3 linked regions of the Arabidopsis thaliana genome follow. The protein of the gene in region 2 interacts with the protein of the main gene of each other region in a pairwise test. Each region holds a gene or a part of one and is shown on either strand. Other genes may lie near its edges.

Evidence for each region.
Region 1: the proteins of PIP1;4 (region 2) and AT5G61630 interact in a protein complementation assay, tested with the Arabidopsis thaliana proteins (one large-scale study listed by BioGRID).
Region 3: the proteins of PIP1;4 (region 2) and AT1G67470 interact in a protein complementation assay, tested with the Arabidopsis thaliana proteins (one large-scale study listed by BioGRID).

What each region holds. Positions count from the first base shown.
Region 1 is NC_003076.8:24,772,638-24,776,401, forward strand, and holds AT5G61630 (uncharacterized protein), read right to left. Parts: upstream 1,942-3,764; 5' UTR 1,866-1,941; coding exon 1,622-1,865; intron 1,366-1,621; coding exon 1,166-1,365; 3' UTR 871-1,165; downstream 1-870. Other genes in the region: AT5G61620 (myb-like transcription factor family protein), read left to right, coding at 1-64, 138-349, 448-870; PMSR1 (peptidemethionine sulfoxide reductase 1), read left to right, coding at 2,389-2,826, 3,259-3,510.
Region 2 is NC_003075.7:184,732-189,400, reverse strand, and holds PIP1;4 (plasma membrane intrinsic protein 1;4), read left to right. Parts: upstream 1-1,720; 5' UTR 1,721-1,869; coding exon 1,870-2,200; intron 2,201-2,503; coding exon 2,504-2,799; coding exon of another isoform or gene 2,800-2,832; exon of another isoform or gene 2,833-2,927; coding exon 2,928-3,068; intron 3,069-3,162; coding exon 3,163-3,258; 3' UTR 3,259-4,116; downstream 4,117-4,669. UniProt on the Arabidopsis thaliana protein: Aquaporins facilitate the transport of water and small neutral solutes across cell membranes.
Region 3 is NC_003070.9:25,270,521-25,274,471, reverse strand, and holds AT1G67470 (Protein kinase superfamily protein), read right to left. Parts: upstream 2,351-3,951; 5' UTR 2,226-2,350; coding exon 1,056-2,225; 3' UTR 612-1,055; downstream 1-611. Other genes in the region: AT1G67460 (Minichromosome maintenance (MCM2/3/5) family protein), read left to right, coding at 2,855-3,490, 3,859-3,951.

The sequences.
Region 1 (3,764 bases), on a different chromosome or scaffold from region 2:
GGTTATCATTCCGATGGTCAGATTCATTCCAAGAAGGGTAAAACTGCTCATGAGAAGAAAAAGGGTACGTAATCTTCTAATCTCATCAATTTGATAATCTAAATTCAATGAAATTAATAAGAATAAATCAAATTCAGGGAAGCCATGGACGGAAGAAGAACATCGTAATTTCTTAATCGGTTTAAACAAACTCGGAAAAGGAGATTGGAGAGGCATTGCAAAGAGTTTCGTGTCGACAAGAACACCAACACAAGTCGCAAGTCATGCTCAGAAATATTTTATTAGGTTAAACGTTAACGACAAGAGAAAAAGACGTGCTAGTCTCTTTGACATCTCTCTCGAAGATCAGGTACTTATTTACCTTGTTTCTCAAGTAATCCATTGAGTCAATTGATTTGTCTAGGGCTATTTTTTAATTTAGGGTTTAATTGTTTTTTCATTAAACAGAAGGAGAAAGAGAGGAACTCTCAAGATGCTTCAACAAAGACTCCACCTAAACAACCAATAACCGGAATTCAACAACCGGTAGTACAAGGTCATACTCAAACCGAGATTTCGAACAGGTTTCAGAATTTATCAATGGAGTATATGCCAATCTACCAACCCATACCACCTTACTACAACTTTCCACCTATTATGTACCATCCAAATTATCCAATGTACTATGCCAACCCTCAAGTACCGGTTAGGTTTGTTCATCCTTCTGGTATACCTGTTCCAAGACATATACCGATTGGTTTGCCTCTGTCTCAACCGAGTGAAGCTTCTAATATGACAAATAAAGACGGTTTGGATCTTCATATCGGTTTGCCTCCACAAGCTACTGGAGCTTCTGACTTGACTGGTCATGGCGTTATTCATGTGAAATGAAATCTCATTTTTTGTGTGTTTATTTAAGCATGATATAGGTATATTGCTTCTTTTTTTTGGTGTTGAGTTTTATTTGAATATATAGCTCCATATTCAAAAGTTTTGCCAATCGGATTATGTATCATTTTTATTTCTTCCCAGATTAGATTAAATAAGAATATAGATATATTTGGATTTATATTTAGCTGCTTCTTTATCAACCAAAAACAAAACAAAAAAAATCTTAGTTTTGGTGAAGTTTATTGAGTAAAATCAACATTCATTGGGAGAAAATTAAAAAAATGGTGTTGATTAACTAGTAAAATCCTTTGATCAATTTCCTAGAAGCTCGTCTGGTTCTATCAGTGAGGTTTGGTTTGTCAGGATCTCCGAGTTCTAAGGTGGCACCCAAGAAACCGGTCTGAGTTCCATCGCTATCATTGTCGATGTCTCCTTCGATCGTCAATCCTTCAATCTTAGCCGCAATAGATTCTTCTCTCATCCCAACATCCACATCTTCAAAATTTGGATCGATGTTATAAGTGCCACAAAGAATAAAGTATCAACATGTAACAGTTACATAAAATATTTCCCAACTTCACAACCGCCAAATGCAGACATGATCTCTCTACCATTTGCAATCCAATTTGATCATGTTGGATTATTGCGGATGAGTTCGTGGTTAACAACATGCATGTTTTTTCTTTCACTTTAAAACCGGGCATGGTTTGATCAAACACAAGCATGTTTTTGGCTCACTAATTGTATATACCTGGATTTGAGAAGAGCCAAAGTACGAGAGCGCATGCAAGGAGAACAAATGGTATGATGTGAATGGCGTTTTCTGCGAATTTGGCACGTGACTTCTCCTTCTTAACCATCTCCTCTGGTGGATTATTGTAGGAAGGTAGTTCGTTCTCGTCGAGGGGACCGATCACCGAGCCCATCCACAATCCCTTAGGCGGTGCGGATGAGTAGTCTTCTGGCACTCGGTTCCAGCTCGCGGATCTATACATTTTGATAAGTATTTTTGGTTTTGATAGGTGTGTTCCAAAAACTCTATAGAAATTACGTTTTTAGGATGTTGATGGTTTTTGAGCTTAATCAGTTTCTTTGTTACATTTTAGTCACAGTTTTTTATTTCTTAGAAGAAAAAAGAATCCGGATTGAATTGCGAATTTAGAGCCTATGGTTTTGGTACATTTGGATCGAAATAAGGACTTTGTCAAATCGTTCAATCTAATCACTCATTTTTCCATTTGAGAGTGACAAAAACAACCATTTCTTTAGATTCTTTGTTTTCTTCTTCTATTTCTGTGACATTTTATAAACATATGATTTGATCATGCTTGAAACTAACTAATCTTAGTTTTAAGATTTTAAAGATTAAAAAAAAAAAAAAAAAAAAGATTTTAAAGATTGTCAATTTGAACTGCTTGAATGAAATGTCAACCAAAACTGGTTTCTAAAATTATTTTTATCGTTATTCAAAACGTAAACGCAAACGCGAATTTTATACCTGTCAGAATTTGGTACAAAATGTTCCGCAGAATCAGCCGACGTTTCCTCTTCACCACTTTCCTCTGTTTCTCTGTTTCGCTCTCTCTACAAAATTTCTCCATGAACATACTTAACAAGCTAGGTATAGGATCAAGTAGACAAACCAACATGGATCCTTCTCCAATCGCACAAGTAATCGACGACGAAGCTCCGGCGCCGGGAAACCAGTTTACTCAATTCGGCGCCGGTTGTTTCTGGAGCGTGGAATTAGCGTACCAGAGAGTTCCAGGAGTGACTCAAACAGAGGTTGGTTATTCTCAAGGGATCACTCACGATCCTTCTTACAAAGATGTTTGTTCAGGTACCACGAATCATGCCGAGATTGTTCGTGTTCAATATGATCCAAAAGAGTGTAGTTACCAGTCGCTGCTTGATTTGTTCTGGTCTAAGCATGATCCCACCACTTTGAATCGGCAGGTAACGAAAGTTTTGCTCTTTAGAATGTCTGATTTTGTGAGTTTTAAGTTTTGATTTTGGTGATTGAGGAAGATTTCTAGGGTTTCTAGGGCTTGCTTGAAATATTGAGCTCTAAATAGATTGAAATCTAGGGTTTGGATGATGTAATACTTTGGATTCATTTCATGTTCTGTTGGTACAAAATTTAGGTTTTATGTTTGAAACTGAACAGAGAGACTCATACATCTTCTCTTTGATAAGGATGTGAATTTGGCTATCGTTCTTGTCATCTTTGGTCACTGAACCATCCTTATGTGTATTTTGGTAGTTTCTTAGAGAGCACTTAACCAGCTCTTATGCAGAATCACTATTTATTTGGTAGTTTATCTGCTTGTCGTGCATTATGTTCGAATTTGTTTCTCTGTTTTAATGAGTACATCCTTATCTGATCAGGGAAATGATGTGGGAACCCAATACCGTTCAGGGATATATTTCTACAACCCGGAGCAAGAGAAACTAGCACGCGAGTCACTGGAGCGGCACCAGCAACAAGTTGACAGGAAGGTTGTGACAGAGATCTTACCGGCTAAGAAATTTTATAGAGCTGAGGAACATCACCAGCAATACTTGTCTAAAGGAGGGAGGTTTGGTCTTAAGCAATCAACGGAAAAAGGCTGCAACGACCCAATCCGCTGCTACGGGTAAAAGCCTTGCTTCTAACCGAAAGCAGAGGATGCTTCCACTTATCTATGATAGATTATAGCAATTATCGTTGAAAAATAAAGAAGCCGAGGCTACTTATGTAACTTGTTCTTGTTCATAAAACTTTTTAAGTGTTCAATCCTTTAGGTATATAGTATTGTTTGGATGTTCTCGATTGAATTTGTTCTTGTAAGATTCATCAAAACTAGTTTGAGTAAAACGTAAAATGATTTTTTAGTGTCTTTTACTCAGCATCA
Region 2 (4,669 bases):
TACACATGTTCAACGGGTTCTTCCACGTGTCAAACTTATGTTGGCTGGACGGTATGTGACTGTGCATTGTGGTTACGTTTCCAAAATGAATACGTAAGAACTTTTCCTAAATTATGTCTTTTGCACAATACTGTAAGTCTGTAACTATGGTACTAAACATTATAATATCGAATTGGAAACATTTACATTTGAGAATTTTAGTGTTTGTTGGCAACGAAGCATGTGAGATCACAGAGAAGCAATACTCATCTCTGAGCTGTTCAAACAGTTTTACATGTCAGCACCCAAATATAGTCACTATATTCAAAAACAAAATTATTTACTTGCATTCAATGCTAGCCTTTTTTATTCGGTCCACAACAAATTATAAATATTTGTATATAAGAAAAATCAGAGACCTGATTTTGTAATGCGTGGCTTGTCAATTTCAAGCAACACAGAAAAAAGCTAACTAAGCAAAAAACAAAAAAAAATAACAAGTGGCTGGTTGATAGAATGTATCTTTCATCAGTACATAACACTGTTTTTTTGTCAACGTAAAACAGATTTTTATAACTTTTGTTTGCCCTCAACTTTTTTCATTACATTTTCTGGAATATCGCATGGTTGAATAATTAAAAGTTAAAAATGATTTTTATGAAGCACGGCATTATACTATATAGTCAGTCCCAACGAAAATGACTTTACATAAAGCTGTCAATTTTTTCTCCAACGGTCAGATAATTGTTTCGTTGAATAGTCAGTTTTTTTTTTACTATTTTACTATTGGGCTTTATTGGGCTCTTACAATTTTATCGATTTTTGTTTACCGTCCAGAAAGTGGACCCTGTGGGAAGAGGAAAAGAAAAAAAAAGGGTCAGGTTTTTTGTCTTTATACGAGAGCACATCGGTACGTTCCAGAACAACCCTCTCTAGTCTCCTCCATCATTATCTTTATTTAATAGTAACCCTAGTACAAATTACCAAACTATTCAACATTAACATAATTATTCAACATTCACCATCATGAATAATAACTAGTTGAGAAAAACGTAACTAGACTAGTTTGATCTGTCAACATAAAAAGAGAAAAAAGAATTTCGTGACTAGTAAAGTTTAAGACCATTCACAAATGATCATTGAAATTATTAGTTCTAAACTCTTAGTTTGGTTATCTATTTGGTTTTGATTCGTATCTATTTGGTTATTCGGTTTTTTGGTTTTAAAGTTTAGTATTCATTCGACTATTTTGAAATTTTGGTTCGTTTTTTTTTTTTTTTTTGAAATTTAATATCCATTCGATTATTTTGCTTTTAATATTTTTAAATATTTCAATTATTTTTTGATATTTTTTGAATATTGTTACTATTTAATATATATTTTTAAATATTTTTAATTACTAAGTATAGAAATAACTAATATTTTTGAAAATAAAATTATATTTTGGATATTTTAGATCATCTAAAATATTTTAGTTAGGTACTAATTCATTTTTGGTTATTTTGATTATAAAATTTAATATCTATTCAACAATTTTTAAATTGTTGATTCAATTCGGTTCTGTTTTTTTTTTTCATTTAGGTTTAGTACATTTGGTTCAGTTTATTTGACTCTCAGTTTATTTGCCTAAGCCTTGAAATTAGGTGTTAACTATTGGTTATTCTAGTTGAAATTTGAAATAAAGAAAAAACTATACGTTATACTATTTTATTTTCTTAGCAATAACTAAAAATAAATGTTTGGAAACGTTAGGCAATTTTATTATATTCTATCGTTGTTCTCTATAAATGAAGTCTCGACCACACACTTGGTAGCTACACACGAGAAAGAAAAAGCTCACAACTTTAACCTTTCTGGAGAGAGAAGAACAAAAGAGGGAGAGGGAGAGAAATGGAAGGCAAAGAAGAAGATGTACGAGTGGGAGCTAACAAGTTCCCGGAGAGGCAACCCATCGGTACATCGGCTCAGTCCACCGACAAGGACTACAAAGAGCCACCTCCTGCGCCACTGTTCGAGCCCGGCGAGCTCAGCTCATGGTCTTTCTACAGAGCCGGAATAGCTGAGTTTATCGCTACTTTCTTGTTTCTCTACATCACTGTTTTGACTGTAATGGGAGTTAAGAGAGCACCAAACATGTGTGCTTCTGTTGGAATCCAAGGTATCGCTTGGGCTTTTGGTGGCATGATCTTTGCTCTTGTCTACTGTACTGCTGGAATTTCAGGTAACCTTCTCTCGATTTTCCCATTTTTCTGTAATCTCTGTTTTGGTGGGTTCTCTGTTTTGGTTCTGCTTTATTTGCTCTGTTTTGTTTCTGAAAACCATTATGTGAGTCCTCTGTTTTTGTTCATGCTCTGTTTGACCTAGAAAATGTAAAGGAACCAAAAACAGTTATAAAGCAGGAAACTTTGGGTTCTTTTGATGCTTGGGCTTATCTAGATCTGTATGTTACACCAATTTTACTGTTGATTTCTCAGATAAAGCTCACATCTTTGTGTAACATGTGTTTGTGTTTGTGTGTTTTTAGGTGGACACATCAACCCTGCTGTAACATTCGGTCTGTTCTTGGCTCGGAAGTTATCTCTGACCAGAGCAGTGTTCTACATGATTATGCAATGTCTTGGAGCCATCTGTGGTGCCGGAGTCGTCAAAGGTTTCCAGCCAACGCCGTACCAGACTCTCGGTGGTGGTGCTAACACCGTTGCTCATGGCTACACCAAAGGTTCTGGCCTTGGTGCTGAAATCATCGGAACATTCGTTCTCGTCTACACTGTCTTCTCCGCCACCGACGCCAAGAGAAGCGCCCGTGACTCACACGTCCCGGTATGGACCCCTCTCTTAGTTCCGGTTTGCTGATTTTATTGCTTTAATTAGACTACTAACCGATCGAATTTCCCCGGTTTTATTGGTTTAACAGTTTATGACTAATAATTGGTCACTCTCTATTGTAGATTTTGGCGCCGCTCCCAATCGGATTTGCAGTGTTCTTGGTACACTTGGCAACAATACCGATCACCGGGACCGGAATCAACCCAGCTAGAAGTCTTGGAGCCGCAATTATCTACAACAAGGACCACTCTTGGGATGACCATGTGAGTAAACAACTCTAATGAAAAGGACAACTCAAAACGTATTATGATGTTTTCTAATATATTTGAATTTGTAAAATTGTGGTGGTTGTTGCAGTGGATTTTCTGGGTTGGACCATTCATTGGAGCAGCTCTAGCAGCACTATATCACCAGATTGTCATCAGAGCGATTCCTTTCAAGAGCAAGAGTTAGAGACACACAGAAAGATTCCACGGTCCAGAATTTGTTCTTTAGTAGTTTCTTTGCTTATCTATCTAATGTAGCTTGTGTTTTGCAATGTAATGAGCCTTTCAAGAATATGTATTTGGGATTTCTAATCAGCTTTTGTCTATGTAAAAACTATGTGTTTCTTTTTTCTTCCTATACTCGTCTCAGATGCTTTATGGCAAAGGGTCTCTGAAGTCTAAGGTGATTAGTGCTCCGGTTATTGATGTTTTGAATAGTTTGTTCGACGAATATAAAATAAACATAGTCAACCCTCATTCTGTATCAACATCAAGTTCTCGGGTTGGTTTTGAGAGACATGATTATGAAGATGATCATGACTTCGTGAATGTGGGGGTTGAAGGATTGGCCTCTGTTTATGACAAGATGGTGAATGAAGAGCTTGACTATTGTGTACTTGCAAGAAAGTGTTGAAAACACAAGGGCCAATACATTGGAAACAGAATATGATGTGTTTCATACTAGAAGCTCAGTAGTCTTAAGCTTCCGGTTTTATTTGTACTAGCTAGAGATATTCTAGCTATGCAAGTTTCTTCTGTAGCTTCTGATTCTTGTTTTAGCACCAGTGGTCGGATCTTAGAGCCACAGAAAAGTTGCTTAACACATTATATGATTGAGGTCTTGTTGTGTACTGAACAATAGATGATTTAAATAATTTTTGTGATTTTTTTTTATTTTAGTTTCCTAAATTTTAGTAACAAAATCGATTTATAGATTTGATAATAAGTTTGTTAAAACATTTAATGCCAATGGCATTGGGTTGTAAATAAGTTCAAACTCCAGGATTTATTTCATAAAAGTGTTGCAAAAATATATAAGTAGATTCTGTACCGTTTGTAATATGGGTTAGTTTTTGATATTTTTTCTCCGTTATTATTTTGTTTGTTTTCGATATTATTTGTTTTTTTTTACAAATAATTTTGTTTTTTTTATTGCATCATTCTATTATAACCCGATTGACAATAAATAACCAAATTTTTCTTTATCGGTTAAAAAACTTTAAATGATTTATTATTTGTTTATATTTTAGATTGTGCATATATTTCTTTGATTCAGTATTATGTGTTTTAAAAAATTTGAATCATAATATATGCAGAAAAAACAAGAAATTTATTAACCATATATAATTTATAATAATTCAAATAATATAAGTACATAAAATCAAATAAAAGTGAAATGAGAATTATGTATTTATGTTTATTAGGTAGAGAGGTTTTAGAAAATTAGCCCAAACATTTTATATTAGCATTAAATCATCATATTTAATTTTTTATCTACAAAAATTGTAAAGAATATACCATATATAAAAAATTTAGATATAGTAATTATTTTTTATAAATTAAATTCGTTTTTGGGTTTTGTCATAATATAGGGAAAT
Region 3 (3,951 bases), on a different chromosome or scaffold from region 2:
TAAAACTTAGAAAAAGGATAAAGTCATCCAATTATTAATGAAAAGTAAGACAAAGCAAACATTTCGTGAAGTTTGACTTAAACCACCCACCATAATGAAAAAGAAGGCTTGTTAATCTCTTATTTAATCTATAGCCTACTTATTTATGAAATTCTGAATCTAAAAGCGGCGACCTGAAAGCGATCGTTTCACTTTTTAAAAATCGTTTTCTTTGTAATAATCATTTGTCCGCGCGATGTTGACAAGTTATGTGGTAGCTAGCCATTTTTGACGGTTCATATTTTAATTTTGATTAGCCTTTAACGTATAAAACCCCATTTGATCCATTTGTTAATTAGAGTAAACCACATATGTTACATGGCCGTGAGTCACCTCAGGCTTTGGATAAAATCTTTTTGTTTTTCGTTCGGATGTTTTGGAAATCTTGAATAAAGGTAATACAACTATTTTTTAGTTTGACACAAAAAAAAAAGGTATACAACTATTTTTCTTCGTGTTTAGACAGTTTATAAATCTAACTAGAATATATTATTTAAAATATAATCAAACAATCAGTTCACTATGGAGGGAGGCAATGAAGAGGACTAAAATGAGTAGTTCCAAAAGGAGAACAAAGCGATTACATGAATGAAGAAAGAAGAGGAAGACCATTATACAATTGAAGATTACAACGCTATTCGAATTATTAATTGTCTATCCTTTGCACAACCGTTCAAAGATTGATTCGATTTAGGTTTAGAAAGAAAGAAAATGAATCAAGCTTTGATAGGCAAAAGTCACATAAAAAGAAATAGAAGTTTTGTGTACATTTGTTAGAAGTGCTTGGCATTTGTAATCATCTGAAGTAAGCAATAAAAGAGTTACAAAGTTAACTACTCTTGTTCTGTTCTCTTCACAAATACACAAAAATACTTATATATGCTTGCCTTTCTAGTTGTCTCGGTGCCATCTTAATCTCTTTGGTCATTTTTCCCAACAAGATCTGACAAAGGTAAAGAAACTAAAGCTTTGCGATTGATAATGTCTGAATAAAAAAACAAGAACCGAAGTTATTTTCAGCATATTCTTCGATTTCTTCTGAAAAAACGAAACCAATTCATCATAACCCATTGAAACATTTCGTCAAATACGTGGCAGGCAATACATCTTAGCAATGCCCTAGTGTCTTTAGTTTGGTTTGAGAGGATTACCGAGGAAGAAATGTCTTGATGAGAGTCGAATTGGGTTTCAACTGAAGGAGAAAAAGTGTCATTGTGAAGACATCTTTGAATACTCTTTAGTTCTTTAGCCACTTCCACCATAGTTGGAACTTCCCCAACATGACCGGTGCATCTCAGTGAGAGCAATAGGAAAGCTTTCATTTGACAAAGCTCTTCTTCTGAAATTTCGCCCATTTCTGGATCTGCAATCTCATCCATTTTTGGCTCTTCCATAAATTTTGATGTAGGAAATGGTCTTCTCATAATCCTATCAAATATTTTTTCCCCCATTAGAAGCATTTGCATGGAATGTCCAACGGCAAAGACATCCGTTTCCTCTGAGACTACACCATGCTTCAAGTAATTAGGCTTCAAGTAATCAACTGTTCCCGCTATATAGTCAACCTGGACAAATGTTTCTCCTTCTGGTATTGAGACGCAGAAAGAGAAATCCATCAGCTTCGCGACACCATCTTCATCCAATAATATATTCGTAAGAGACAAACACCTATATACGAAGGGCCTTGGGAAGGCGGTGTGAAGGTAAGCTAAAGCAGTAGCGATATCCTCTGCTATCTTCATTCTCCTTTTCCACGGCTGTTCACTTGATTCTAAATGATAATGTTTCTTGACACCATGATAAACCATGACTGGCTCTTCAAACTCAAGACAATATCCAATCAATTTCAGGAAGTTTTTGTGACCACTCACCATTGATGAAACTGCTATGTCGCGGAAAAATGTATCTTTGTAGTAGACGGACTGGGAAAAAGCTTTCCTGACAAGTATCATGTCATGGTTCTCGTTCTTGCCTGAATACCATTTGTAGTCAAAATCATGAGATAATTCGGAAACAAGATTAGACACGCCGAAATTGTTGGTGGCTTTGCGGATCTCATCAGCAGAAAAGAATTTGATGGGATTGGATTTGCCATCGCAGCATTCGATCAGATCTTTTAACAGCTTCGCTCCTCTTTCGGAAGCTATCTCGGATTTAGGCTTCTTCTTCTTCCTCCACCAACCCATCTCAAAACGTAAATTAGAAAAAGGAAAAAAACTTTCTCTTGAAACCAAATGAAGAAAGACCTCACACTGAGTTGATGATAACGAAATGTATTTAGCTAAATTCTTTGTTGAATATTCAATACCGCGTAAAGATAGCAATACAAGTGTACTACTACTACTTTTCTTATTTTATTTTTTAAGAGTGTCAACCGGTTTGTTCTGGTCTGTTACTGTGTAAAAACTTAAGTCAAACTATTCCGAATCCTTTGAGGCTTTGACTCCCTCTGCTTATTATTCTTTCATTCTTTCTCAAAGCAACACTCCACCAATCAAAACATTCCCCTTTTTTTTTTTGATAAACACAAAACATTCCCTTAAATCAACATTTAAAACAAAGCAAGAAGATATTATTTTTCAGTGTTTGATTTGCCTTGTAAAACGACGGACATCCAGATTTTTCGAATCGAATTCAACCGAATAACGGATCAAATCGGATCTAACGAATATTTTGCCCAGCGCAAGAGTAAACATCATATATTCAGCAATTACAAATTTAATGCGAAGATCTCTCTCCCTCTCTCTCTGTAATCAATGTCAACACTAATATCTTGGAAGACAAGCCATTTCTTAGAACCTTCTAGATTTTACCTATGCAGACATTTTCTTCCGCCGCCGCTCTCACCTCCATCCTCCGTCGTACAACGATCTATCACGGCGGATTTGGAACTGGTCTCCGAATCCGCCGCAGCTTTTATTTTCTCTCAGCGATACGACAAGAGAACCCTAATGTCACTAAAAATCCCCACCCGAACAAGACTATTCTCAGATCCTTCTTAGCTCCGGTTCTCCCGTTAGACGAAAAACCTAACCTCGTTGAGCTTCAAGCCATCGGTACAATCGCCACCGCTCTAGCTGACTACATGCGCGTCATTGTTCAAGATGTACCTGAGAGTGATAATGGAGAGGATGATAAGATTGGCGTTGAGTTGCTTTGTGTGGTGAGAAAGTTACTGAAGAAGATAGGTAGGACTGTTCTTGTTGGTGATAAAGTTCTCGTTGATAAAGTTGATTGGGTTGATCGGAGAGCTAAGATTATCAATGTGTTTGATCGAGTCTCGGAGGTTTTGGATCCACCGGTTGCGAATGTTGATCACTTAGTGATTCTGTTTTCTCTTGATCAACCTAAGATTGATCCATTTACACTTACTAGGTTCTTGGTGGAAGCTGAATCTATTGGAATTCGAATCACAGTTGCTTTGAACAAATGTGAACTCGTCACTCAAGAGGTAAGGATGATGAATCATATTGACTCAACTAGGTTTTGGTAGGAAGTAAATTGCATAGTTCACTACTAGTTTATACTCTCCATTTCAGGGGTTTAAGTAGAGCAATGATCTTGTTTACAGGACTTGGAATCTTAGAAGATAAGATTGTGTAGTTGGAACTATGCACCACTGTTTTTGCTAGAAAGACATTGCGTAGTTCACGACTAGTTTAGACCACTTTGATCCTTTGTACTCTATTTCAGGGGATTGATTAGAACCATATCCTGGAATTTCATAGCTCATTAGTTCACTACTAGTTCAGAACACTTGCTGCTTTATAGTTTAGACTCGATTTCAGGGTTTGATTAGAGTAATGATCTTGTTTTCAGGAAGTGGAATCTTGGAAGATAAGATTGCGTAGTTGGAACTATGAACCATTGTTCTGTAGTGTGGGAACTAAAGTCGGAATTGATGAGATTGCG